Linked DNA regions of Notamacropus eugenii. The protein of the gene in region 2 purifies or fractionates together with the protein of the main gene of each other region. This does not show direct contact. Links are inferred from orthologs where the notes say so. Each region holds a gene or a part of one and is shown on either strand. Other genes may lie near its edges.

Region 1 (8,429 bases), about 250 Mb from region 2:
TCAAAACAAAATTTTAAAATGTTTAAATTATGTCTGTAGCCACAGGTGATTGGTCTGGATATGGTGATTCAAGAACATACTCTAAAATACTAAGTGCCAAGACTTTACTTGTTTTGTTGTCATGTCTTTTTTTCCCTAAAACTAAAACATAGTAATAAAAAATTCCAGCTACTTGAGGAATCTGATTCAGAGGACCATTGGATTTTGGAGCTGGAATGAACTCTAGAGACCATTTATTCCAATTCCTTGATTTTGAAAATAGGATTTTACTGCATGTTTTTCTTGTAGTATCCAAAAGATGTTGGTCAAATACTGTGCAAATAATACAATTACTACAATTTTCACTGACACCTATTTATTTTGGATTATGTCAAGATGTTTATGCTTTGGGCATTTTAGAAATCAGATCACTTACCTTAGAATAATTTGCTCACAAAATCATGGAGAGAAGGCATTCATAGCATAACACTACCTTTGTACTGCAACTATGAACTGATATTCCATTTTTATTACAATTGTCATCATATTCATCTTGTTAAATTATAAGCCTCATGAGGGCAAAGGTCATTTATTTTTTACTTTTATATTTTCCCTGTAACTATAACTATGCTCTCCGTACGTAGGTAAGCTCTTCAAGGTCCACTGAATCTAATCACATAAGGCTGATTTTTTTTTTCCCAGGGGAATTCTACCTGAATTCATTTCCAATTGGCTTCACTGTGGAAATTTACTAATTCCAAAGCACAGCTGCAAAGAAATGCAGATATGAATTTATATATTAATGATTTCAAAAATCTTGACGTGATTTCATCAGCATAGGGAACTCTGGGAACAAACACCTTCTATAGGCAAACAACATGATATTGATTATACATGGGAAATTATGGAAAACATATTTCCATATTAGCCATGTTGCCAAAGAGAACACAGAAAAAAGCCAAGAAAAATAAATAGTATAAAAAAAGTATGTTTCATTCTGTATTCAGAGTTCGATCGTTCTCTCTTTGGAGGTTAATAATATTTTTCATTTTAGATTCTCTGGAATTGTCTTGATCGAAGTAGCTAAGTATTTTATAGTTCATCATGCTTACAACATTGCTATTACTGTGTATAATGTTCTCCTGGTTCTGCTCACTTCGCTTCAAACTAGCTTTTCAAAATAAATATTTTCCAACAACTATCTGCATTTTCTTCCATCCTGCACTATTTGAATCTTTCATAATTGCTCAGTAACAAAATCTAAGAAAACTAGCTAAAATAAAATGTTAGTAACACTACAAAATTTTCAAAAATTTAAATGACTAAAGGACTGTATCTGCAAATGCTAAAATGACTACTTATAATCAATCTTACTTATAAATAAAATAAGTACATAGCATTCTCTCTTGGGGAAAAAAAACCTATTCAACTGAAACTGCTCCATCTAAAGTTACCAGTGGTTTCTTAATTGACAAATCAGATGGCCTTTTCTTAACTGTCACCCTTCTGGATCTGTCTGTTACAAGTGACAATGCTGAGTATTTCCTACTCATACATACTTTTTCTTTTTTTGTGACACTACTCTCTTGGTTTTCCTCTTATCTGACTATTACTTTTCATTCTTTGCTGGATCATCATTCCCTCTGCCCTTAACTCTGGATATATTCCAAGACTAGTTCATTTCTCAATGTATAATCTCCGAGAACTTATCATCTCCCATTGGTTCAACTGTTATGGCACACAGATGATTTCTAGATACAGACTTGCACCATCAATAGGTTTTTTGCATATTTTTTCAAATGGCTTCTCAAATTCAATATATTCAAAATAGATGTCATTATCTCCTCCCTGCACCAAACCCACTCTTTCAGACTTCTCTATTTCTGCTGAATGTACCACCATACTTTCAGTCACAAGTATTTGCAACCTCTGAGTCATCTCTCCCTCCTCACTTTTCCTTGCCCCACATATCCAATGAGTGGCCAAGTCTTGTCAACCCTATCTCTACATCTTCCATTCATCTCCATCTTTCCACTCTTCAACCAGCCTAGTTCAGAGCCTCATCACCTCTCACTTAAGACTACTCCATTTTAAATTGGTCCCCTTGCTCCTTCACACAAGTACTAATGTGACATTACTGAAGTAAAGCATGACTATGGTACTTTCTTGCTTGATAAACTCCAGTGGCTTCCTACTGTCCCTAGGATAAAAAATAAATTGCTCTGTCTGGTGTTTAAAACACTTCACGACCTGCCTCCAATCTACCTTTCCAGCCTTATTATACATTAATATGTATATGAAGGGGAGCTCTGTATGCTCTATAATCCAGCCAAATTGGCTTTGCTTTGAGCTCTTTTGCCCAAATATAGCATTCCATCTTCTGACTGTACTTTTGCATAGGCTGTTCCACACTTGCATTCCTGAAATGCACTCCCTGTTTACCTCTTCCTCTTCGAATAGATCAGCTCAAATACCACCATAAGAGGCCTTTCCTAGTTCCCATGGTCACTGGTGGTTTTTCTTCACAATTGCCTGGTATTTATTTTCTACGTGTTATATGTATACCTCATCTCCCTTTTGAGAATGTAAGCTCCTAAAGAATAAGGACTGTTTTATGTCTTTGTATCCCCAGTATCTACCTCAGTCCCGGCAGAGTAGGCATTTAATAAATGCTTACTGATTGATTAGAGATGCTTGGCAGCTTATAGGCTTAGTTACCTGGGGTACTGAAAAGTTGAGTCTAAGTTACCAAGCATTTATTTAAAACCTACTACATGCCAAGTACTGTGGGAAGTGCTAGAAATTTGAATAAAGGCAAAAGACAGTCCCTGCTCTTAAGGAGCTCACAATCCAATGGGGGAGATATCATGGAAACATGTAGTAACTTGTCTAGGGTCACAAAGTCAACCTATATCAAAGCTGAACCCAGATCTTTAGGACTCCAAGGCCTGCTTTCTATTCACCCTTTGGTGTCTCTATAATAGAAATCACTTTTTACATTTTATTGACATTAGTGGTTATAGTTACATACATTCCTCTACAAATAAAAGTATCTCTCCTTACTAATGCTGAAGAACTATTAGACAACCCAAAGGTTTATTTAGAGGTTTATTTAATGCAAATGAATACTTATTAACCCAGGATAAAAATAAAGCCTTCAGGAATTGAGCATCCAGTTAATTTTTTTTTTATCTTACTCTAATGTGTTAATAAGTTAAATCAATTTTCAGGTAGAAGGCAAAACTGTCAACTGAATGATTCTCAACCAAATCCTTCAAAGGCAGTTCAACCAATGAAATTGGGAGGCAAGCTGAGTATGTTTCCCCTTAGATTCTTTGCTCTTGCTAGGTGACCTATCCGCATCCTTTTACGGCTATACATTTCTCTGATAAAATTTATGCCAGTTCTCAGTAGTAATATGTTACCCTACTTAGGACTACCAAGAGTGTCAACCTTTAGGTGACCTTCAACTTTAATTTTTCAGAATGATATTTCATGCCTCACAGCCAAAATAATATTTATGTTAAAAAGACTGGCTTTTGTTTTGGAGAGTAGTTTGGGGTGATTTAAAGAAAGCACTGAGTAATTTTCCAAATGCCAGCTCGTTCCCTTTAAGTAACTGAAGACAGACACCTATCACGGCCAATAAATTGCCTCCAGTCTACACATTCTTAATTGGTCCACACAATTCTTGACACAATTTTTGTGGTTCCCTTCCCATTTTACTTGGCCATTTCAAGATAAGAGTCACCTTTTCAATGTCTTTTCCTCAAATATAGTTTCCAAACACTTATGATGGTTCACAAACACCATATTCCAAGTATTTGACCAAGAGATGACAAGACAGTCATTTTCCTCTTTTCCAGAGATTCTTACCGTGGAACCCAAACCCATTTTTTCTTTAAAAAAATTGTTTTGATAAGTATATTTCAATACAACTGATTTCCTTTATTATCTTATGTATTTTATTATATGTACTAAAAAAAATTCTGAGGGGTCCATGGGTGTCATCAGGCTGCCCAAGGGGACTTCCCACAAAAACCCCCTGTTCTAGAGGAAGGCTTGAGAAAAGTAGATGGTGCTATGGTTAGAGCCCTGGATCTGGAGTCAGGAAAACCTCAGTGCAAACACTTGAAAGCTGTGTGACCTTAAGCAGGTCACAGTCTCTGTCTGTTTCAGTTTCCCCATCTGTAAAACCGGGATAAGGATGGCATCCACCTCCCAGGGTTGTGAGGACACAGTGAGGTAGTATATGTAAATCACTTGGCAAACCTTAAAGATCGCCATAAATGCCAGCTGTAATGATCAAACACTTCTGCTAATGACATTTAGAGGTTCAATGGCAATCAGCAAGCAACAAGCATTTATTAGGCGCCTTCTGTATGCCAAGCGTACAGAAAAGCAAGAAATAAAGAAGGTAAACAAGATCTGGGCTTCCGTCCCTCTCTGACCCCTACCATGGTGTGAGCCTGGCCAGGCCCTGTACACTGACAGTGCCACCCACAGGTGACTATTTAGTACGTGACAGAACCGGTGCAGACACGCACACAGGTAAGGGAGTGTCCTCACCAGGAATTCTTTACAGCCATAAAATCAGAGCAATGCCGGTCCAAAGGGGGGAAGGGTTTTAAGGGCTTGGCCCAAGACGTCTCTGAGGTGTCTCCCCGTAGAGAGCGTCTCACCTGACCCAGACTGACCAGGACCGGGTCGTCAAGGTCACCCAGGTGCTACCTAGTCCGGGAGCTGCATCCCGGGGCTCTCGACTCCAAATCCAGGGCGCTGGCCTCTCCAGACGGGGGCCGCCAAGGAGCCCACAAGGGCTCCCGCTCCCCTCCTGGACAGCCGAGGGCTCCGGCGGCCTTCCTCTCTCCTGGCCCCTCACGGCTTCCGTCCTCGCCGGCACGGGACCCCGCCTCCCTTCTCCCCCACCCCCCACCGGCCTGGCTCGCGCTGGGGCGACAGCGGCGGTTCCCACACCCTGGGACGGCCTACGACCGAGGACTCGGCCCCCCTGGGCCCCTCACCTAAGCCGGCGGCGGTCGCAACGGCTCTCGGGGACCCAGACGCGGGGACCGGAGTCCGCGAATGAGCCTCGGACTGCAAGTGGATATCTAGCTGGGCCCGGGAGGTGGTCGCGCCTGCGCAAACACGCTATAAACAAGCCCTCCCTCCTTCCCGTCGCCGCCGCACTCGGTTGGGAGAGACCGGAGTGGAAGGGTGAGAAGGAAGGCGGGGTGAAAGAGGAGGGGGAAGAAGGGGGGGGTGGCCTCTGGGAAAGCTAGGGACGGCGCCTGCGCAGTGGGTGTGATCCGGGCACTTGGGGCAGGATGAACGCTGCTTTCCAAGATGGCGACGGAGGGAGGAGGGAAGGAGATGAACGAGATTAAGACCCAGTTCACCACCCGAGAAGGTCTTTACAAGCTGCTACCGCATTCGGAATACAGTCGGCCCAACCGGGTGCCCTTCAACTCGCAGGGGTCCAACCCCGTGCGCGTCTCCTTCGTCAACCTTAACGACCAGTCTGGCAACGGCGACCGCCTCTGCTTCAATGTGGGCCGGGAGCTCTACTTCTATATCTACAAGGGGGTCCGCAAGGTACCGACCCGGGCGGCGCCAGGGCCCACCGGGGGTGGGGAAAGGGGCAGCGACATCGGCACGGGCGGCAGGGAAGGGGACGGGACCCGGTGACGTGACCCGACCCGGGGAGGAGGCGGCGGCCGCTTCACTTCAGAGTGGGCCGGTAACTCCACTTGAGAGTTCTCACCTCAGCGCTTGCACTGGGGGGAGGGAGGAGATAGAGGGGGGCGTGTAGCGTGGGGGGAGGGTCTGGGGGGCTGACTCGGGGACCAGTCCAGGGAGGCCACCCCCCCACCCCCCACCCCAGGTGTCTGCCTCTCGTCACCCCACCCTCCTCCGCCTTGAGTCTGTCAGGTTGGGTGACAAGCATGGAGCCGGGCCTGAGGGGCGAGGGGGCGGGGGTGGCGACTGCCCCAGCCCGACTGCGAGCTGGGGGGCTCCCCCGTGAGAGGACGGGGACGAGGGGTGGTAATGAGGTGGGACCGGCGCTGGGGAGCTGCAGGCTTGTGCCCGTAGTCCGAAAGGAGCCGCCTGGGCGCGGGTGGGGGATCGCGGGGGGCCGATCCACCTGCTGCCGCACTTCCTAGGAGTCCGTCGGTGGCCCGGCTGTTCACACTTTGTGTCTCCGAGCGCTCAGGGCAGGGCAGCTGTCGCTGTCTCCAGCCATAGAACGCTTGGGAGTGAATCTTTTCCTAGGAAAGATCATGAAAGATTGTCTCTTGTCTGTTTCTAGTATGTGGATAGGCTAAGTTTTAAAGTGAGGGACTGAGGCATCTTACTTTTCCATTATTTTAACGGGTGATATGGGTTCAGCATGAGAGCATTCGAACTAATCTTGTCAGAGAAGACACCTAAATCAGGAAGGTCTAAAAAGCGGCTTCATGTGGTCTCCTTTTCATGACAAGCAACAGTAATTCTTTCGACCGTGCAATCGTCTTCAAGCATGTTCTCCCTTTAAAAAAAAATTTGTTAGAGCCTTCATCTGTGTTATCATATACTTGTTAAGCTTTTGAAATAGAACTTTGAATTTACTATTAGCAGAGAGAAAATAATGGACTCTGTAATCTGTGCAAGATTATGAACAGACAAATATGATTTGCAGAAATGCTAATTTTTATTAGTACCTTAAAATACGCACATAATGAATAAGAAAGAATACAGACTTTCTGCAAATAAATACATTATGTACAAGTACAGTATTTTCATTTCAGTATTGCAGGGTCATGTGGTGGGTATGCTGAGTGTGTTTCTAAAGCAGTTATCTGAAATGTTTTTGCTAGTGTTTCCGATTATGGTCAGAATGTGATGGAAAATATTGAAAAGAAGCCACTTAATTTTTCTTTTCCTTTTAAAGTTGGAAAGTAAGAAAACATAACCTTGGTCCCGTTCCTAGCTTTGTCACTGACTTGTTGGGTGACCTTTGCCAAGTTGGTTCACCTAGAACTCCTCTACTTTAAAAAAAGATTGATTGCTGTGAATATGTTGTAAATAATGAATTAATAAGTGTACACTATTGTGAAGTCTTCAGAGACAATAAATGGAAAACAGTTACAAATATAAAGAATAATGGTCAAACAGGAAACTGCCATCTTGATTTTGATCCTAGAACTTTAAGGGTCAGTTTTCTGGTGCAGTTAGTTTCAAAGTTTTCATTGCTAAAATGTATTTTTTAGACACCGAACACCAAAAAAACAACCTCCAAACCAACCTTAACTTTCACCTAAACTGATAACCAGTTGAACCATCTTGTTACTCTGTTACCTTTTTTACTCTGCAAGTTTTCTTGTTGAAGCTTTCTCATAGGAAACTTGATCTGGGCAGTCTTGGTTTACATCATAAAACAGAGCCCATGCTCAAGAATTATCTTTGCAAAGGAAGTTTTTATTAAGGTAGATAATAACCTTTCTTACAAAATGGTAATACTAAAGTAAAGAGAGATTTGCAAAACTGCTCTGAAAAGTTCTTCTAAATGACTTTAAAAAATAGGAGTTGCGTAGGGTAGTTGGAGGGATTATATACATGTAGAGCTTTATCAGTGGAAGGAAAGAGGGGAGGTGAGAGGGAAAAAGTGAACCTTATTCCCATCACATTTGGCTTAAGGAGAGAATAACACACATACTCAATTTGCTATGAAACTATCTTACACTACAGGAAAGTAGGGTAGAAGGGAGGGTAAATGGGAGGAGAGAGGAATTAGAAGTAAATACTTTTGAGGAGGGATAGGGTCAGAAGAGGAGAATAGAATAAATGGGGGGCAGGAGAGGTTGGAGGGAAATATAATTAGTTTTGCCTAACATAACTTTTATGGAAGTCTTTTGCATAACTGCACATGTATAACATATTGAATTGCTTGCCTTTTCAGTGGGGATAGGTGGGGAGGGAGGAAGGGAGGGAAGTTGGAACTGAAAGTTTTAAGAATGAATGTTGAGAATTGTTTTTGCAGCAACTGAGAAATAAGAAATACAGGTAATGGGGTATAGATATCTATCTTGCCCTATAAGAAAAGAGAGAAGATGGGGAAAAGGGAAAGGAGGGGTGTGATAAAAGGGAGGGCAGATTGGAGGAAGGGGTAATCAGAATGCATGGTGGGTGGGGGAGGGGAGAGATGGGGAGAAAGTTTGGAACTCAAAATCTTGTGGAAATGAATGTTGAAAACTAAAAATAAATAAATTATAATGAAAAAAATAGGAGTTGCATTTACAGAAAACAGAAACAGGTGGTGGCACAGTAAATAGAGTCAGGAAGATCTGAGTTCAAATAAGGCCTCAGACTCTTACTAGCTGTGTGATCTTGGAGAAGTCACTTAACTTCAGCTAGATTTGCCTCAGTTTCCTGAACTGTAAAAATGGGGTTGATGATACCACCTACCTTTC
Region 2 (7,727 bases):
CACTGACTTCTCCTCATCCACTTCTCCCTCCACATATATCATCACCTGCATACCCACAATGACAAGTAGCTAGAAAGTTATGTGGGATTCCTTAAGTTATACCCTTATTTTTTAAAGAAGTCATTGTTTCAGAAACAGAAAGATTTGGAGGGACAGTAGTGAAATGTATTTGATCCACAGTTATTTGAAAGATGGTTCGATTTGTTCTATTTGGCCTCTTGGGCAGAAGCAGGAACAGCGAGCAAAAAGAAAAATTTGGGTTTGATGGAAGGAAAAATTCTTAACCATTAAAACTCTTCTCCAGTAGAATGAGGTACCTTGAAAAATAGTAGATACTGCTTCACTGACATTCTTCAGGCCCTGAAAATCCGATGATGCTCTGATGAGTGGAGTTTTGTTCCCATATAGGTTTAGGAGACTTCCCACTGGGAGTCCCAACAGCTATGATTCTGTATATGATTGAAGGCCCAGTGAGTGCGGTGCATTTAGCGACTGAGGGACCCAGAAGGTGTAAGGAACCATGGGATTTGATTTAGGACATCTGTGGATCCTATGGAGCCTGCTGCTCTGGAGTAGATGGCCAGCCTAGAATGTTGGCTTTCAGCAACACTCACCGGGAAGGTTCATTCTCTTCCCGGAGGTCTGCTCCGGGGGTGGGCCTGGACTAAGAAATTAGAGCGAAAAGTGATTTTTAAAATGCCATATTCTTTAGGGGATTAATAATCGTTGGCGTTGGAGAATGGGGTTGAAAATCTTCCCGGGAAAATAATGAGCGGAGAAACATTTACTGATTAGTTTAATCCCATATAATCCTATCTGATGAGCATAGATCAAGATATCCCTTAACAGATTTATTCCAAAATAAAATAAAACAAAATCAAATAAAAAGTGTACAAGCACTCTCAGAGTGTGGAGGTGCATGTGTTGTGTTTCGAACGAAGGAGTGATCCTAGTTTCTGAAGAAGGCATCAACTAGCCCCCACCCTGTCTTCCCTCTGCTCGGGGTGCCCAGCGCGGATCCCCAATCCGCGCACGTGGCCAGGAAGTAGCCCAGGCAACTATTTAGAATACAGGGGGATTTAAACTCTTATTCCTATTCCCCTGTAGCAGGCTTTCTCCCCGTTTTCGGCTTTTATGTTTCCCTAAACTGATTACGAGCAATTATAAACGCTTTATCCCAAACTTTCCAAATGACTCCACCATATGCATAGTTAAAAGCTTCATCATCCTTGGCGGCAGCTGAGCCTCCGCGTAAACTGCTAAAATTAAGCTGATTCTGGGCGATGTCAAAAAATTAGGGTTTTAGCCACTAACATCGGCCGAATGGGAAATTTGTTGGGGGCTGGTGGCCGGATTAGCACTTCCAATTTCTGTGAGAGATTTGCTCTTAGTTTAACAGTGAAAGTCTCCTCGGGCGGTCCTCTCACTGGGACTGGACTCCAGCGCAACTTGAAAAGTGAATGTGGTCGGCTTTCTCTGCCGGGCTATCAGGGAGCCCGCTGGGAGAAGCGCTACCTCGTCAGGGGTGGGGAGCGTGGGTGAGAAAAGATAGGAAAAGATGGTATGAATACAGAATCCTCATTCATTCTCTCTGAGTGTCTGGGTCCCTTTCTCTGTGTCTGTCTCTCTCTTTCCCTCCTCCCCTCAGGGAGTGGCTGGGATGAGCTGCATCTGTGATAACCGACGTAAAACAAAAGCACAGACAATGAGAACTCGAAGGGACCACAGAAAGCACCTAATCCATCGTCCTCATTTTAGGCTCGGAGGAACTGAAGCCCAGGAAAGGGACGTGACTAGCTTAAAGTCAACAACGAATTGGCTAGCGATTCGACTCCAAGTCCAGGGAATGGGACCCATACTTCTGGACATCTGCAGTCTCTGTCTGTTCTCTTTGATGATTTAGATGCCCTAAAGGAAGGAAAACCAAATCTTTATGTCCCCACCTACGAGTCTTGAGATGCCCCAACCCACGTTGCCCGGGCAGTGAGTTTTGTTTCCGCAGGTAATATTTCTGGGGCATTTCTTGAAGTCCATATCTAAACCATCCTAAACCTGATGAGGTTTACCCTTCACCCAGAACTGGCACGGGAGCATGCACACTCTCCTGCTTAAACTGAAGCGCCCTGTCACATAGCTCATCGGACGAGTCGTGGTTTTAAATAATGATTTGGTCATAGTTTATCTGCTGCTGAAAGTGACCCAAAATTTGGGTGGGAAAAATCATATAATTAGGTTCCTGACATTCCTCTAAGAGCTGATTGCAGGGACCTGACTGCATCTCTTACACCTGAATACAGCAAAGTAAAGCTTCTCAAAAGAAATTCCTGCCTCCCTTTCCGGCCAAACGTAATCGTCAAAAGCCAATCCTAAACCCAAGCAATTCAAATTACAATTATCCCAAATGAAAGTTATTGTTTTTCTAATCCCAGGAACAGCTTGCGAAGGGAGATTTGGGTCTTTCTTTAATAATGTAAAGTTAATACGTAGTCCTCTTGTAATTATCTTTATCAGAAGGCCCTTGTTTAATCTGCATGTTTAGCAGAAAAGTACCAAAAAAAAAAAAGGGAGGTGGGGGAAAGAGAGATCTACTTTAAAGCAGTCGATGTAAGCTGTTTGTAAATCGTTTGCATAAACAGATGAAGCAGGGAATTTCAATCCAGGTGCAAGAGCTGGGATCTGATGGACTGAATAAGACTGGAGTCCCTTTTGGACATGGATAAGGTTACACCACACATTCTCTCCTCTCTTCTTTTGTTGCAGAGCTGAGGGTGGGTGCAACTACTAGGTGCCTCCTGTTAGGGAGATGGGATGGTGGGGAGAGTGGGTAGGTCAGTGAGAGGAAAGCTAAGAAGTCAACAGAGGAAAGAAACTTGAACTTGTCCACATTTTCTTACATAAAATTCCATTTCATTATATTCTGTTCAGTTCTTTGGAGGGAAGGCTTCGAGGGTTTGGGAAAGAGAGATACAAAATAGAGCTGTGGGAAAGAAGGAAGGGAGGGAGGAAAGAAGGAAGGGGGGGAGAGAGATCTTTATGTGAAAAATGGCAAGTTAAGCAGTATGGTTGAGGAGAGGAGAAGACTGTGAAGGTTTGAAGGAAAAGATTGTAAAGAGGTCTAAATTCTCAATTGGCATTTGTTTTTATTCCAGTCAAAAGATAATAAGGAGCCACTGGAGTTTATTGAGTAAAGGGATGATGACATGGTCAGAACTAAGCTTTAGGAAAACATTTTGGCAGCTGTTTGGAGAGGTTGTATTAGACTGGGGAGAGATTTGCCAAGACCAATTAGGCTATGGCAAATACTGGAGGACAGAATGATTAGGCTTATTTGAAAATCATGTTTTCCTATGAAGTGGCACGTGTGCAGATAACGTGTAGGAATTTTTAAAAAAAGTTTGAAGTTTTCGAATTTTTCTCTCTCCAAAATCCTCTATCCATGGGAGTTTTCGAAAGGCCCATGAAAATGCAGGCACTAATGGAGAGCGTCCCTCTCGAAAAAAGAACCAAAAGAAGGCGAGATGTTGGGTTTTCAACCCAGAGAGCCTGAGGGTGTTAGGAGCTGGGATGCGGGGAACTCTCAGGTTCCCCATCCCTCAGTTTAACCCCATTGTACCCTGTTTCCCTTTTCGTTAGCTTCTGGGGTCTAGGGAAGAATTGACTGAGAAGGACCCAGCTAACTGAAGTAAGAAAAAAAAAAAATCTCAGCCTTGAGCCTTGGGGACAAGGGAGAGTTGTGCAAACCAGCAAGACCCAGTTTCGCTTGGGGAGCGAGAGAGCTAAATGAGAGAAACCCACCCACCACCTCCTTCCCTTCGGGGAGACAGACAGATGAACATCTCGGCGGAAACACCTAGGGATATTTTGGGGGATTTTTTAGGGGGGGCGGAGAGAGAGCTAGTGAGCCTCGTAAATCTGGCGTTAACGGTTTTCGATCAGAATAGCCTGACCAAAGACTTGGCACTGAAGCCTTGTAAACTCGAGGTGAAGTCTCAGAAGAGAACGCAAGGTGTATTGGTCCCAGGGAGAGGAGGGGGTGGACATTCAACTGTTTGTAGAGCTGAGGTTTACTCTTTCGAAGAGGTAAAATGAAGTGAAACTCCACCCCACCCCCACTTCCCACCCCCAAGCCTGCAGTGTTTGTAGGAGGAGGGGCGGGCTTGGCCCGGACAGATTGAAGGGACCAGAAAGGAGATGACAGCTGGGCAGGGGGACGTGTAAGGGGAAGGAGGAGGAAAGTAAGGAAAAAGTGACCCTGGGAAAGGGGGATGGGACTTCCGAAGGGGAGGTAGTAGCTGGGAGCTGAGGGGGGAAGCAGCTGGGAGTTGAGCTAGAGAAGGGAAGGTGTATTATCAGATTGTGGGGAAATTGGGAGTAATTAATCTTCTGGAATTGAAAGCACGGGACGACCCTAAAGCGACAGGACCCTTCCCCGACCTGATTGGAGGCCAAGCTCCTTCCCCACCCCCTGCCCTGCTTCACTGGCCCCAGGACGCAGATAAAAAGCTCTGGACCGACTTCGCTCTTCTTCCATCTGTATTCGGGATCCTGCAGAAGCTACCCCAAACAGACAAGCCAGGGAGGGAAGGGCGAAGCCATGACCGGCCGAGATGCGAGCTCAGATGGCAAAACCAAGGGCAAGGCGCTGGTGCCCATTGGCCCGGGACATGAGAAGGCTTCTCTCAGTTTACGATCCAAAGGCTTTGCCATCAATGACTTGCTGGGCTTGGAGGCAGAGTTGCAACCTCCCAGTGGTCCTGGGGCTGGCTCAGGATGCCAGGTCCCCTCTGGTACTGGGCTGGGGCCAGGTCCTGGGACTGGAGCTGGAGTTGGGGGGACCTCTCTACCCGGGGGCTCCTTGCCCTTAGGTCTGGGCTTCTTCTGTGGCTTCGCAGCGCAGCAGCCCCCGGCTGGTGGGACCCCCTGTTTGCTGCTCACGGACATCCCCTTCCTGCAGCCCCGGGGACCGGACCCCCATCACCAGCGTCACGAGCATCACCAGCGATACCTGCTGGGCTCTGAAAAGCCCAAGGAAAGCGTTTCGGGTAACTTGTGCATGCCTCCCGCGGGACCATTCGTTCACTCTAGACTTCTCTCAGCCTAGGGCTTAAAGGGTTAAAAAAAAAAAAAAACCAACCCTTTTCCACAACTTTTACTATTGCCCCTCACCCCTTTCACTTCCCTCACTTTGAGACAAAAGATACATCTTCCTGAGTTTCAGTTTTTGGCAAATTTCTCTGTTTCTCTTCTCTCCAGATCCAGAGAAAGGGTAGAGTATTCAGGAGGAGAGGGCAAATGGCCAGTTCTATCTAGGGGCGGTGTTGCAATGCCTGGAACTCTGGATTTGTATTCAGAGGACCTGAGTGCAAATTCTGACTCCACTCTTTATGTGACCTTGGACATGGCACTTAATCTCGTTTTGTTTTGTTTTTTAATCTGAAACAGATGCTTAGATCATTTAATATTTCTCACAAACCTAAACCAAAGAGACCCACTTAGTGCTATTTAAATCCTGCAACCTTTTCTCTCTCCTTTCTTAGGTTCTGCTATTCTCCCTCATGATCTTGCCACATAAATTCTTTTCTCTAACCTCTGCCTAGAGGCTAACCTCTTCTGGGGCTGGAGCCGCTCCCCGAGGTGAAAATGTATTTTTGAACTTTTCCTCTCTGCTCCCCTAGAGTCTGAGGTCAAGATCCTGCAGAGATGCAAATTTTAGCTGTTTCTCATTTTAGCTTCAGTCTCCTGGTACAGAAATCCTCAATCTAGGCCAGCCCTGGGCTTTGGTGTTTTTTTTTTCTGAACAAGACTGTGTGTCTCCCAAGTAGGGTCATGAGACCTGAGGAAACTGATGTTAGTCAGGGTTAGGGAAATGAGTGGGCTTGTGGGCTGGGCTCTTTGAGACTATCATAGTCAGAAGATCTTCTCCCTCTGCCCTCTTTTGGCAGTCCTCTGCTGGCAAGCACTCTCTCTTCTGAAAGTCCTGACTTTTCAGTCAGGAAGAGGAAGCAGCCCTGGCATTCCTTGTACTCTTGCTATTAATACAGCTACTTGCTTAATTACACTGGTACTTCTGACAAATCCCTGGTTTCATTGAGTGTTGCTTCTTTCCCTTACATGTGGCAGTTCCGCCATACCTCATTCCTTCATCTTTTGAGTTCATTCTTCTAGTCTATGATAGCTTCGTAATCATGAAGACCCAAGTTCAAATTCTGCCGCGGCACATATTATTAGCCACTTGAATTTGGACAAGTCATCCATGTAACTTCTCCATGCCTAAGGCAGCTCTGTGACTACATAGACAGTTCCTGATTTGTATTAGTGGGGGGAGTTTTTACATTGATGAATTCCTATATCCCAAGGGAGATTAAAAAAAATAACCACCACCACTGTGATAGGATTTTGTCTTTACTTAGTCATGACTTTCCTTTCTTTTGGTGTCTTATTTACATCTATTTCATCCATTGCTGTCCTTGGACTCCCTTAACATTCACTATTTGACTAGTGCTTTTAGGAGAGTCTAAAAGTTCCATTTAGGGGATCTCATAATCTCCCCAGGAAAGACACTCAGTAGATTGCTCCCTTTGTAGATCTTTCTATATATAAGGTTTATCTGATAAGATGTCAGCTATTTCAGTGATTTTACTGTTTTCTCACTTAGAAAATAGTAGAAACCTGGAATGAAAAGTTCATGCCTAGATGGGTATAGGATGGGGAGGAGCAAGCTTTTTCTTCATAGGATTTAGGAGCAGAAAGGAATATCTAGTCTGGAGCTTTCATTTTATAGTTGAGAAAATTAAAGCCTAGAGAAGGAAGATAACTTGCAAATAAGGAGCAGAACAAGGATTTGAGCACAGGTTCTCTGATTCCCTTGATGAAGCAAAGACTGGGCAGCCACTTGGGTACGAGGGGTTCTTATTCAAGTAAAAGTTGCTCTCAATGACCTCTGAGGTCCTGTCCACCTCTGAGATACTGAAATTCTGTGACTGCATCTCAGGTTCTTTCACTAAACCATATCAAGTCTTCCGATTCCAAATCCAACGTTCTTTCCATTATGCCGTGCTGCCTGACTCCCTCTGCTTTCTTCCATCGCTCATCTTTAAGTTGATAGCCAGACAAAGCTGGTGGTAGGTCAGCTAGGTGGCACGGTGGATAAAGCTGAAGACCTGAGTTCAAATTCAGCCTTGGACATTACTTGTTGTGTGACTCTGGACAAGTCACCTTACTGTTGTCTGCCTCAGAGTTTTCTTTTTTTTTAATCTGAAAAATGAGAATAATAGCATCTACTCACTTGTGTTTGCAGATGTGATAATAAGCTTAGCTCAAATGAGATAATATTTATAAAGTGCATTGCAAACCTTAAAGAAACATATAAATGTTAGTTATTCTGGTCATTATTCAATCATGCCCTTGGGTGGAATAGTACAGAAGAGTTTTTTTTTTTTCAACAATCAGTGTTGCCTTTTCAGGATTGTGGGCAATTCATACTAGAGACATACATGGACACAGATGAGAGCTGGAAAGAGAAGATCAGGGCCAAAAAGAGCAATGTGCCCCAGCGATGGGGACTCTGAGGTGGGCTCAGTAAAGTGATTACGGTCCTGCCATTCAGCACTGGTCAGTGGAGAGATACCAGGTGTGAAGTGTGGGGGACTGAGGTCTCCAGAGGAAGTAACTCCTTTCATCTTCTTGCCTTGGGGCCAGTCACAAGTGGACCAACTCTAGTTATTGTT
Region 3 (7,891 bases), on a different chromosome or scaffold from region 2:
TCCCATTATGATGCTACCTACTGTTATCCTTTTAGACATGCACCAAAAAAAGATCTTTAAAGCTTACGCTGATTATTTCCAATTCTACATATCCAGCCCTAGTATGTCAGCTCAATTTATGTCAGCTACTATATATTTCCATTGATATCACAAAATCAATATATCCAAAATAGAACTCATCTTTCCCTAAAACCCACTCCTTTTTCCAATTTCCAAATTCTGTTGAACAGACTACAATTCTTCTAGTCACTCAGGCTTGTTATCTCTATCACATTCAACAATTCTTCAGTACCACTCATGTCCAATTGGTTGAAAAATCTTTCTACCTCCACAAGATATTGTGGAACAATTTCCTTCTCTCTACTCACACAACTACCACAAGGCTCAGGCTTTTATGACCTTTCCCCAGGACTAACAACCATCTTAATTAGTTTCCCTGCATCTATTCCCTACCCTCTTCTCTCCATCCTCCAAACAACTACCAAACTCACGTTCCTTAAGCAATGGTCTGACCATCATTCCCCAGCCTAAGAAGCTGTGGAGGCATTTAGGAACAAACAGGAATTTCTCAGGTTTTTGAAGTTCTTCACAACCTAATTCCAACCTACCTCTCCAGACTAACTATACATTCCTTTCCTTTAGGTACTCACCAAAATGGTTTACTTTTATTTCTCCATAAAAAGCATAACATCTCCAGTCTCCATGCCCTTTTACATATGCTTAAAATTCCTAGTGTTCTTCGAAGCACAGCTTAAGTGCTTCCTTTATATGTAAGGCCTTTCATGATCTCCCCCAGCCCCAAAAACCAACCACCTCCAAATTATTCTATAAATATGCTATATTTGCTCATACATGTAGATGTTAATTCCCCATAGAAAGTAAGCTCCCTGAGGACATAGGTTGTTTTGTTTGTTTTTGTCTTTGTATCCCTATGGCCTATCCTAGTCCTGGCACACAGGAGGCACTTAATAAATGTTGACTCAAAAGTAAAATGTTTAAATCAAGGTTTTGAACAGACACTGGCACATTTCTGTTGTGAAGAATGAAGTTTTTTTTTTTAAGGTTATCACACAAATATCACGTCCCCCTCAGTCTGACAAAGATACTTTAAACTAAATAAATACAGATGGATTTGGTATATTCCAGTTAATAAGTTAAAAGATTACTGGTGGAGTTTTTAAAAGTAACAACATTCTGAGAGACCAAGCTACCACCTAAACACAGTCGTTGTCTCCTTTTGTTTGGAAAAGGGGAAAGACAGTTCATCGCAAGAATTCTTCAGCAAATTAAAAATAGAAAAGAAGGAAAAAATGTTCAGCAACATATTTAAACAAACCAGCACATCTTTTCAACCCACAACAGTGACAGGTTGGAGGGTCCTTCAAGAGGCATGAAGCAAAAAAAAAAAAAAATCTACCCAATCCTATACATCTTCTCCACAGAGAGCAACAGATTTCCTATCAACATATTTAGTGGACCCTTCTACAGTGACAAAATCTACCTACGTAGACTGTCTTCACAATAGGCAAAATTTCTCTATCAACCTCAGAATCCAAGAAGAACTTCTTAATTCCATCCCTCGCATTGAGAGACTTGTAGTATCTACACACATACATACACGCGCACACACACACGGAAGGGGAAACTTGCAGGCATGCCTTACATTACAGAGGGAAGACCCTCCAGTAACTCACACAAGCTAAGGGGGAAGCCTCCACGGTCTCAATCCTCACACGCACAAGCCTTAAAAATAACACACACTGAGAGGGGAGCCTCCAGTCTCATGCACACACAGGAAAAGGAGAAAGGCTCCAATACCTTGAGCGCCCGCACAAACACACAAACACACACACACACACACACACACACTCTCTCTCTCTCACTCATGCGCGTACACACTGATGAGGGATCTCCTCAATTGCTCTCACGCACGCCGAGGGGAAAGCCTCCAATCGCCGCCGAACTCTCACACACGCACGCAGAACAGACCTCCGATAACGCACTCACGCCCCTCCAAACTCTCACACTCGCACGAAGACTTCCAATTAACTCACACACACACACACGCACGCAAGCACACGCATTAGAGTGGAACCTCCTCAATCGCTCATTCCCACCAGCGGAGGGAATAAAAGTGCACTCGCCCCCCCCCCCCACACACACACACGCATGCACGCCGGAGGTAAAACCTCTAACAGCTTACAAACACACACGTCTCCAAACTCACACACTCGCTAAGGGGGAAGGCCTCCGATTTAACTCAGACACATAAACATACACACATACACACCCGAGGGGGGGAGTAGGTGTTCGGGAGAACCTCTAATTCTTCTCACACTCACATGGTAAAGGGAGAGCCTCCGATACCGCACACACACGCACGCACGCACGCACTCACTCGCGGAGAAGGGCTACTCCACTACCTTATACACTCCCGGGCGCACACGCACACACGCACACACCGGCCGGTCCAGCGAGGCCTCTAATGGCTCCCGCCGCCCCAGTGTCCAAGCCCTCCCCGCCCGCCGGTGCCTCCCCTAACGGCAGCCTGGGCTCCGAGGAGCCCGTAACCCGCCCTCACCCTCCTCCTCCTCCTCCTCCTCCTCTCGCAGCCCGGCCCCAGCCGCCCGTCTCATTCCGGCCCGGGGCCGCCCTAGGCCCCGCCGTGTCCGGGGCGGCCGCGGGCGGGGGAAGGTCAGGGGCTCCCCCGGGACACCCGCTCCCGACGCAGCTCCCACCTACCATGGTACAGATGGAAGCAAATTTGGAGACTGTCATTAGGATTTCCATCCGCCCAGCGCCATCTTCCACCCAATCACAGCGGCGGCGGCGCCGGGCTCCGAGCACCGGGCGCGGGGGAGGAGGAGCAGGGCAGCGGGGCCGCCGCCCTCAGTACCGGCGGCCCGACAGCCCCAGCCCGGCTGGCCGACCAAAGGACCGGCCGAGCGACCCACAGACCGACCCCAACAACCGTCTGAGCCCGGCGCTCCGGCACCCTGGCCAAGGCCCCCGCCCCCGGCTCCGGCTGCGGCTCCTCCCCGGCTCAGGGCGCAGCCGCTGCCTCCGGAGGCCGCTCCAGCCCGCCTAGCACCCCGCCCAGCGCGGCCTGGGGAGCAAGCTCCGCCGGGGCCCTAATGCCCGGCCTGTCCGGGCAACTCCGGCACCACCCACTCGCCGCACCCCGGGGACCGACAACCTGAGCGGCCAGCACCCCCTCTGCCTCCGCCTCCGCCCCGCTGCTAGAGGCCAGCAAGCTCCGCCCCCAGCCGCCAGCCCGCCGAGCCCGAGCGGCCGCACGCGCACGAGGCGCCGCCCTCTCCTCCTCCTTCTCCTTCCCCAGCCATGAGAACCCCGCCCCCAACGTGTAGCGGGGTAGGGCCTGAGGGGGCGGGGAGGCGCCGCCGGCACTTCCCTCCGGGTCCTAGTGCTCTTCCACCATTCTTCCGCCCTCCTTTCCCTTCGGGAATGGATGATCTGAGCCAGGAAGCCAGAGCAGCCGAGCTGGCCCGGACAGCGCGGAAGAGGGGGCTCGGAAGTTGGGTCTTTACCTGATTTATTCGGGCAGTTCAGACCTCTAGGTGGAATGATGCGTCTCCGCTCCCAACACATCCGTGCCCAAGGCTTCGGTTCTTGGGCAGGGAATGGGAAAAGCCCGCCTCCGCAGCTGTGACCCGGTGAGACCCACTCATTTGCAAAGTCTAATCTTTCTCTGAAAACGGCGCACTTGTGTCAAACGCGTCATGGGAACACAGTATTAAAGTTAGATGGCATCTTCCAACATCTCAAAGCCCAATCCCCACATTTTACAGGTGGGGAAACTGAGGCCCAGAAAGGGCAAATGATTTCCCCAAAGTACCCTACCAAAGAAAGACAGAAAAGTAAAGATTCGACATATACATGTTATATTTAGCTCGGTGATGTAAGAGGAAGGGTAAGGAATCTGCAAAAGACAGCCTGCCTGTTGAGTATGAATTTTGATGATGCTTATAAATATACTCTCTAAATATATTTTTCCAGACAACAAGAACTGCAAAGGGAAGAATAGGAAGAGACCCAACAAGGATAATATTACCCAGAGAGACAAAAGGAAGTTGATAAGACTGGCAAGTGGGAGAAAAAAATAGACAAGTTCTGTGAGAAGTACATCAAAGTGTAAACTAGTGGAACTGTTTCCTTCTTTCTATTTTTAAAGTGCATCATTTGAAAATCTGTCATTCATTTCAGGCAGTTCATCATTAATTCTTCTTGTTCCAGGAAATTAAGTTTAATTTCTTAAAATTATCCAGCAAATTCCTGTTTCTTTAAAAAAAAAAAAAAAAAAGTCTTTTATTTTTAAATACTTGCTTACAGAAGTTATTGAGGGTGGGAGGCAAGGCAAGATTCTGCCTGGTTCTCAGTGCCTGAGATTACATTCAACTGAACAATTATCCCTAAAATAACGGGCTGAAGATATTTAAAGTTTGCTAAGAAATCAATTTCCGTATTGACTTCCATTATAACATAGTAGATGAATTCCATTAGAAAAAAAATTGTCCATAGTGTGAATTGTAAATAGTAGGAAATCCATAAATAGTTATTGATTTGATTTATAACCTAACCTGGCTTCCTTTCTCTAGTGTCTTCCCTTAAACCATCTATACACTATTACCAGGTTAGTCTTTCTAATATACAGCCTGGATCACATTATCCTCCTATTCAGTGATTCCTTCAATGCCTATTGAATAAAATAAAAGTTCTTTGGCCTTAACCTTCAAAACCTTCTACTATCTAGCTCCATCCTCCTTTTCCAACCTTAACTCATATTTCATATTCTCTACTCTCAACACACATTTACAAGAACATTTGAGGAAGGAGAAATCAGCGACAATCAAGACAGGAGAGGCTTTCTGTAGTGGCTCATGAGTTGAGTCTGGAGAGAACCCAGGAAATCTAAGAGACAGAAGTGAGGAAATACATCACATAGCTGCAGGGCAGAAGATGCAATGCAAGTGCACTGAATGTCAGGTACTGATAGAACATAGAGTGAATGAAAGGGAATGAAGAAATAAGCCTAGATCTCCTTTCGTTCATTGCAAAAGTGGAATATTATGGGTGAAACGCTGAATATGGTATCAGACTTGATTAATATACTGATTTGTTTTACTGAACTGTTTTTCTCTTTTTTATTCTTTGTTATAATGGATAATTTTCTTGGAAGGAGAGATAGAAGTATATATTGGAAAATGCAGATGATATAAAATCAAAAGATTTTAATAACATTTTAATGGGGAAAAGACATGGAAAAGTAGCTATAAAATTAAAAAGATTTTCACAAACAAAATGAATGCAATTAAAATTAGAAGGTAAACAGTTAGCCACAAAAAAATCCTTGAAGCTAATTTCTCTGCTAAAGGTCTGATACCAAAATATGCAGGAAATTGATACAAACATACAGGAACAAGAACCATTTCCCAGTAGGCAAATGATCAAAGGCTATGCATAGACAGTTTTCAAAAGAAGAAATACACATTAAAGCAACTCTAAGATTCTACCATCAGATTAGCAAAGATGACAAAAAAAAATAGAAAAATGACCATTTTTGGAGGAGATGTGGGAAGATAAGCAGACTAATGCACTGTTGGTAGAGCTCTGAAATGATCCAACTATTCACAAGCAATTTGGAACTGTACCCAAAATGTCACCAACAGAAAGAATGTAGCTAGAGAAGAATGCCCAGGAAAGAATCTTGTAAATGAACCACAGTTAGGTTACAGGACATAAATGATGATCCAGGAGGAGAGACTGAGAAAGAGCAGTAAGGTAGGTAGAAGACAATCAGGATAGAGGTCTCACAAAATCAGTCAAGGAAAAGACATTTATTAGGTTTTGATTACTATGTGCCAGGTTGTGTGCTAAGCGCTGGGAACACAAGTGTAATGGAGGTTTGGCACATGCCCAGACCAATGAAAATTGTGTCACGTATGTGGGAAATTCTTGGGACTTGCTTCTGAGAGACAGAACTAGTGTGTGCCTAAACATTCTGAATTGGCCTACCGTGTAGTTGGGAGTAGCCTTTTTTATTAGCTATATAGTCAGAATTATCCGTGTCACTAAGGACAGTTGTCCTTTTCTAGCATTTGCATCTATGGGTGTATTCATTCATTCGCAGCACATGACACTACGAAGTGAGGAAGCGGGAGGGGGAGAGATGGGAGGCACGCCTGAGGTATGCCTCCCTCTCCTCCATTGGCCATAAAGCCCCAAGAAATGGGCTTGGAGTTTTGGTCTGTTTCATTTGTCCCTTTCACTGCTGAGTGCAGGAAGTGGAGTTCCAGACTCAGAAAATTGAGCTACAGGGATTTTGGAGCCCAGCACACCTGGCCAGATGTTGCAGCCAGTGCACCAATGGTTCAGGACAGACTTGAATTTGGTGGGATTAATGTTAGGTAAGGACTGAGACTTCCTAGAGACTGAGATGGTGTAAGAGGGATTAGGCTCTCAGGTGCTAGGGAAAATGTACTTATGTTTTCTCATACCTTTGAAGTAAATTTTCCTTTGTAAAAGCTAAACTAAGTGGCTCAATGGAACTGGGTACAAGTCATTTGCCCCTAAAATTGGGAAACACAATCGATGGAAGCCCTAGCCAATGCCGAGATGAGTCTAATCTCACCCCTTCAGAGAACCTTGGGTTATGGAGATGGGGCAAGGTAACAGACCTGCCCTTAAAACAGTAGAAGCCAGAGATACATTGTTACAAACCAAAAAACTAAAAACAGTCCCTGCCAGGTAGAAGTTTGAAGGGGGAAGCGGGAGGGATTGCTCCTGTTGCCCAAAAGAGGAATGTAGTGATACATAATAGTTGGAATATTACCAGATGTCAACAAAAATCTCTGCTTGCTTTTCATTGAAAATCAATCACAGGCAAATTTCTGGAGAACAGAAGGGAAAAGGATGAAGGGCCCAAGTTGAGGGGTCAGACTGAGCTAAGAGTAGAATGACCTTTTCCTCTGAGACTAGAACAAAAGAGGATAGAATGAGGAAAGATGGGGAAAAGTTCTGAAGCATATCATCTGTTTTTTCAATAGAGAAGTAGGAGAGTTAGAAGTAGGAGGGACACAGCTACTTATTTAGGTCTGGGACACTTCCGGTTGGGGTTATATTCCACAAACCTGGTGTATCTGTGGTTCTGACCCACAGTTGACCTAACTTCTGGCATTCAGCTTTAAAAAAAAAAAAAGCAATAACCTAAGGGTGGGACTTTAGACCTTCCTTATGTACATTATAGGTCCTACTTCCTTATGGGTCCTGTCTTCTTACCTTGTTTCCAGAATCTATATCATATGAGCATATAAGGTACAAACTAAAAATGTAACTTTATAGCAGTCCTGGAGCCTGGTTCCATGAAGAAATATTCTTATGTTCCTCTCGACCCAGATCAGGATTGGAAATTTTCTCAGAAGTGTGCTTTATCTGTGAGCTCTTAATTTTTGCCAAAAATGAGAGCAAGTGAAGAATAAATGATCTGTATTAATTTAAGATCAATGATGAACAATAATCCCTGAGGTTTTTTTTTAACAAAACCAGAGTAGAAAGAAATATATGCATAAAAATGTACATGTGTGTTCTCCTATTCTAGTACAAATGTTTTTTTCTAAACAAAATCATACAAATAACAAAGTATATATGTATATAAGGGGCATATAAGAAATTAATTGATATAATACTTAACAGAGAATCTTTACCTACTTTTAGTGAGTGCTAGTTAATTACATCTATAAGCAAGAGGATCTTAAATATTTGCTTTACTCCTGCTTTGGATTAGACTGGTTTAACATAAAAACAAAGAAATATTGCTAACAACAGAACAAAACCAGCAAACAGAGATTTAAAGCTTTTCTCTGGGGATAGGAGG

Evidence for each region.
Region 1: the proteins of VSX1 (region 2) and WDR20 purify together in Homo sapiens (affinity purification with mass spectrometry; 3 studies listed by BioGRID and IntAct, with this or other methods). This does not show direct contact. The link is inferred for Notamacropus eugenii from reciprocal best matches to the Homo sapiens genes VSX1 and WDR20.
Region 3: the proteins of VSX1 (region 2) and USP12 purify together in Homo sapiens (affinity purification with mass spectrometry; 3 studies listed by BioGRID and IntAct, counting the BioPlex papers as one, with this or other methods). This does not show direct contact. The link is inferred for Notamacropus eugenii from reciprocal best matches to the Homo sapiens genes VSX1 and USP12.

Annotation. Positions count from the first base shown.
Region 1 is NC_092872.1:351,726,007-351,734,435, reverse strand, and holds the start of WDR20 (WD repeat-containing protein 20), read left to right. Parts: upstream 1-5,248; 5' UTR 5,249-5,325; coding exon 5,326-5,574; intron 5,575-8,429. UniProt on the Homo sapiens protein: Regulator of deubiquitinating complexes. Activates deubiquitinating activity of complexes containing USP12. Anchors at the base of the ubiquitin-contacting loop of USP12 and remotely modulates the catalytic center of the enzyme.
Region 2 is NC_092872.1:602,072,990-602,080,716, reverse strand, and holds the start of VSX1 (visual system homeobox 1), read left to right. Parts: upstream 1-4,182; 5' UTR 4,183-4,594; coding exon 4,595-5,042; intron 5,043-7,727. UniProt on the Homo sapiens protein: Binds to the 37-bp core of the locus control region (LCR) of the red/green visual pigment gene cluster. May regulate the activity of the LCR and the cone opsin genes at earlier stages of development. Dispensable in early retinal development.
Region 3 is NC_092876.1:195,092,136-195,100,026, forward strand, and holds the start of USP12 (ubiquitin carboxyl-terminal hydrolase 12), read right to left. Parts: upstream 3,177-7,891; 5' UTR 2,791-3,176; coding exon 2,743-2,790; intron 1-2,742. UniProt on the Homo sapiens protein: Deubiquitinating enzyme that plays various roles in the regulation of the immune response and inflammation.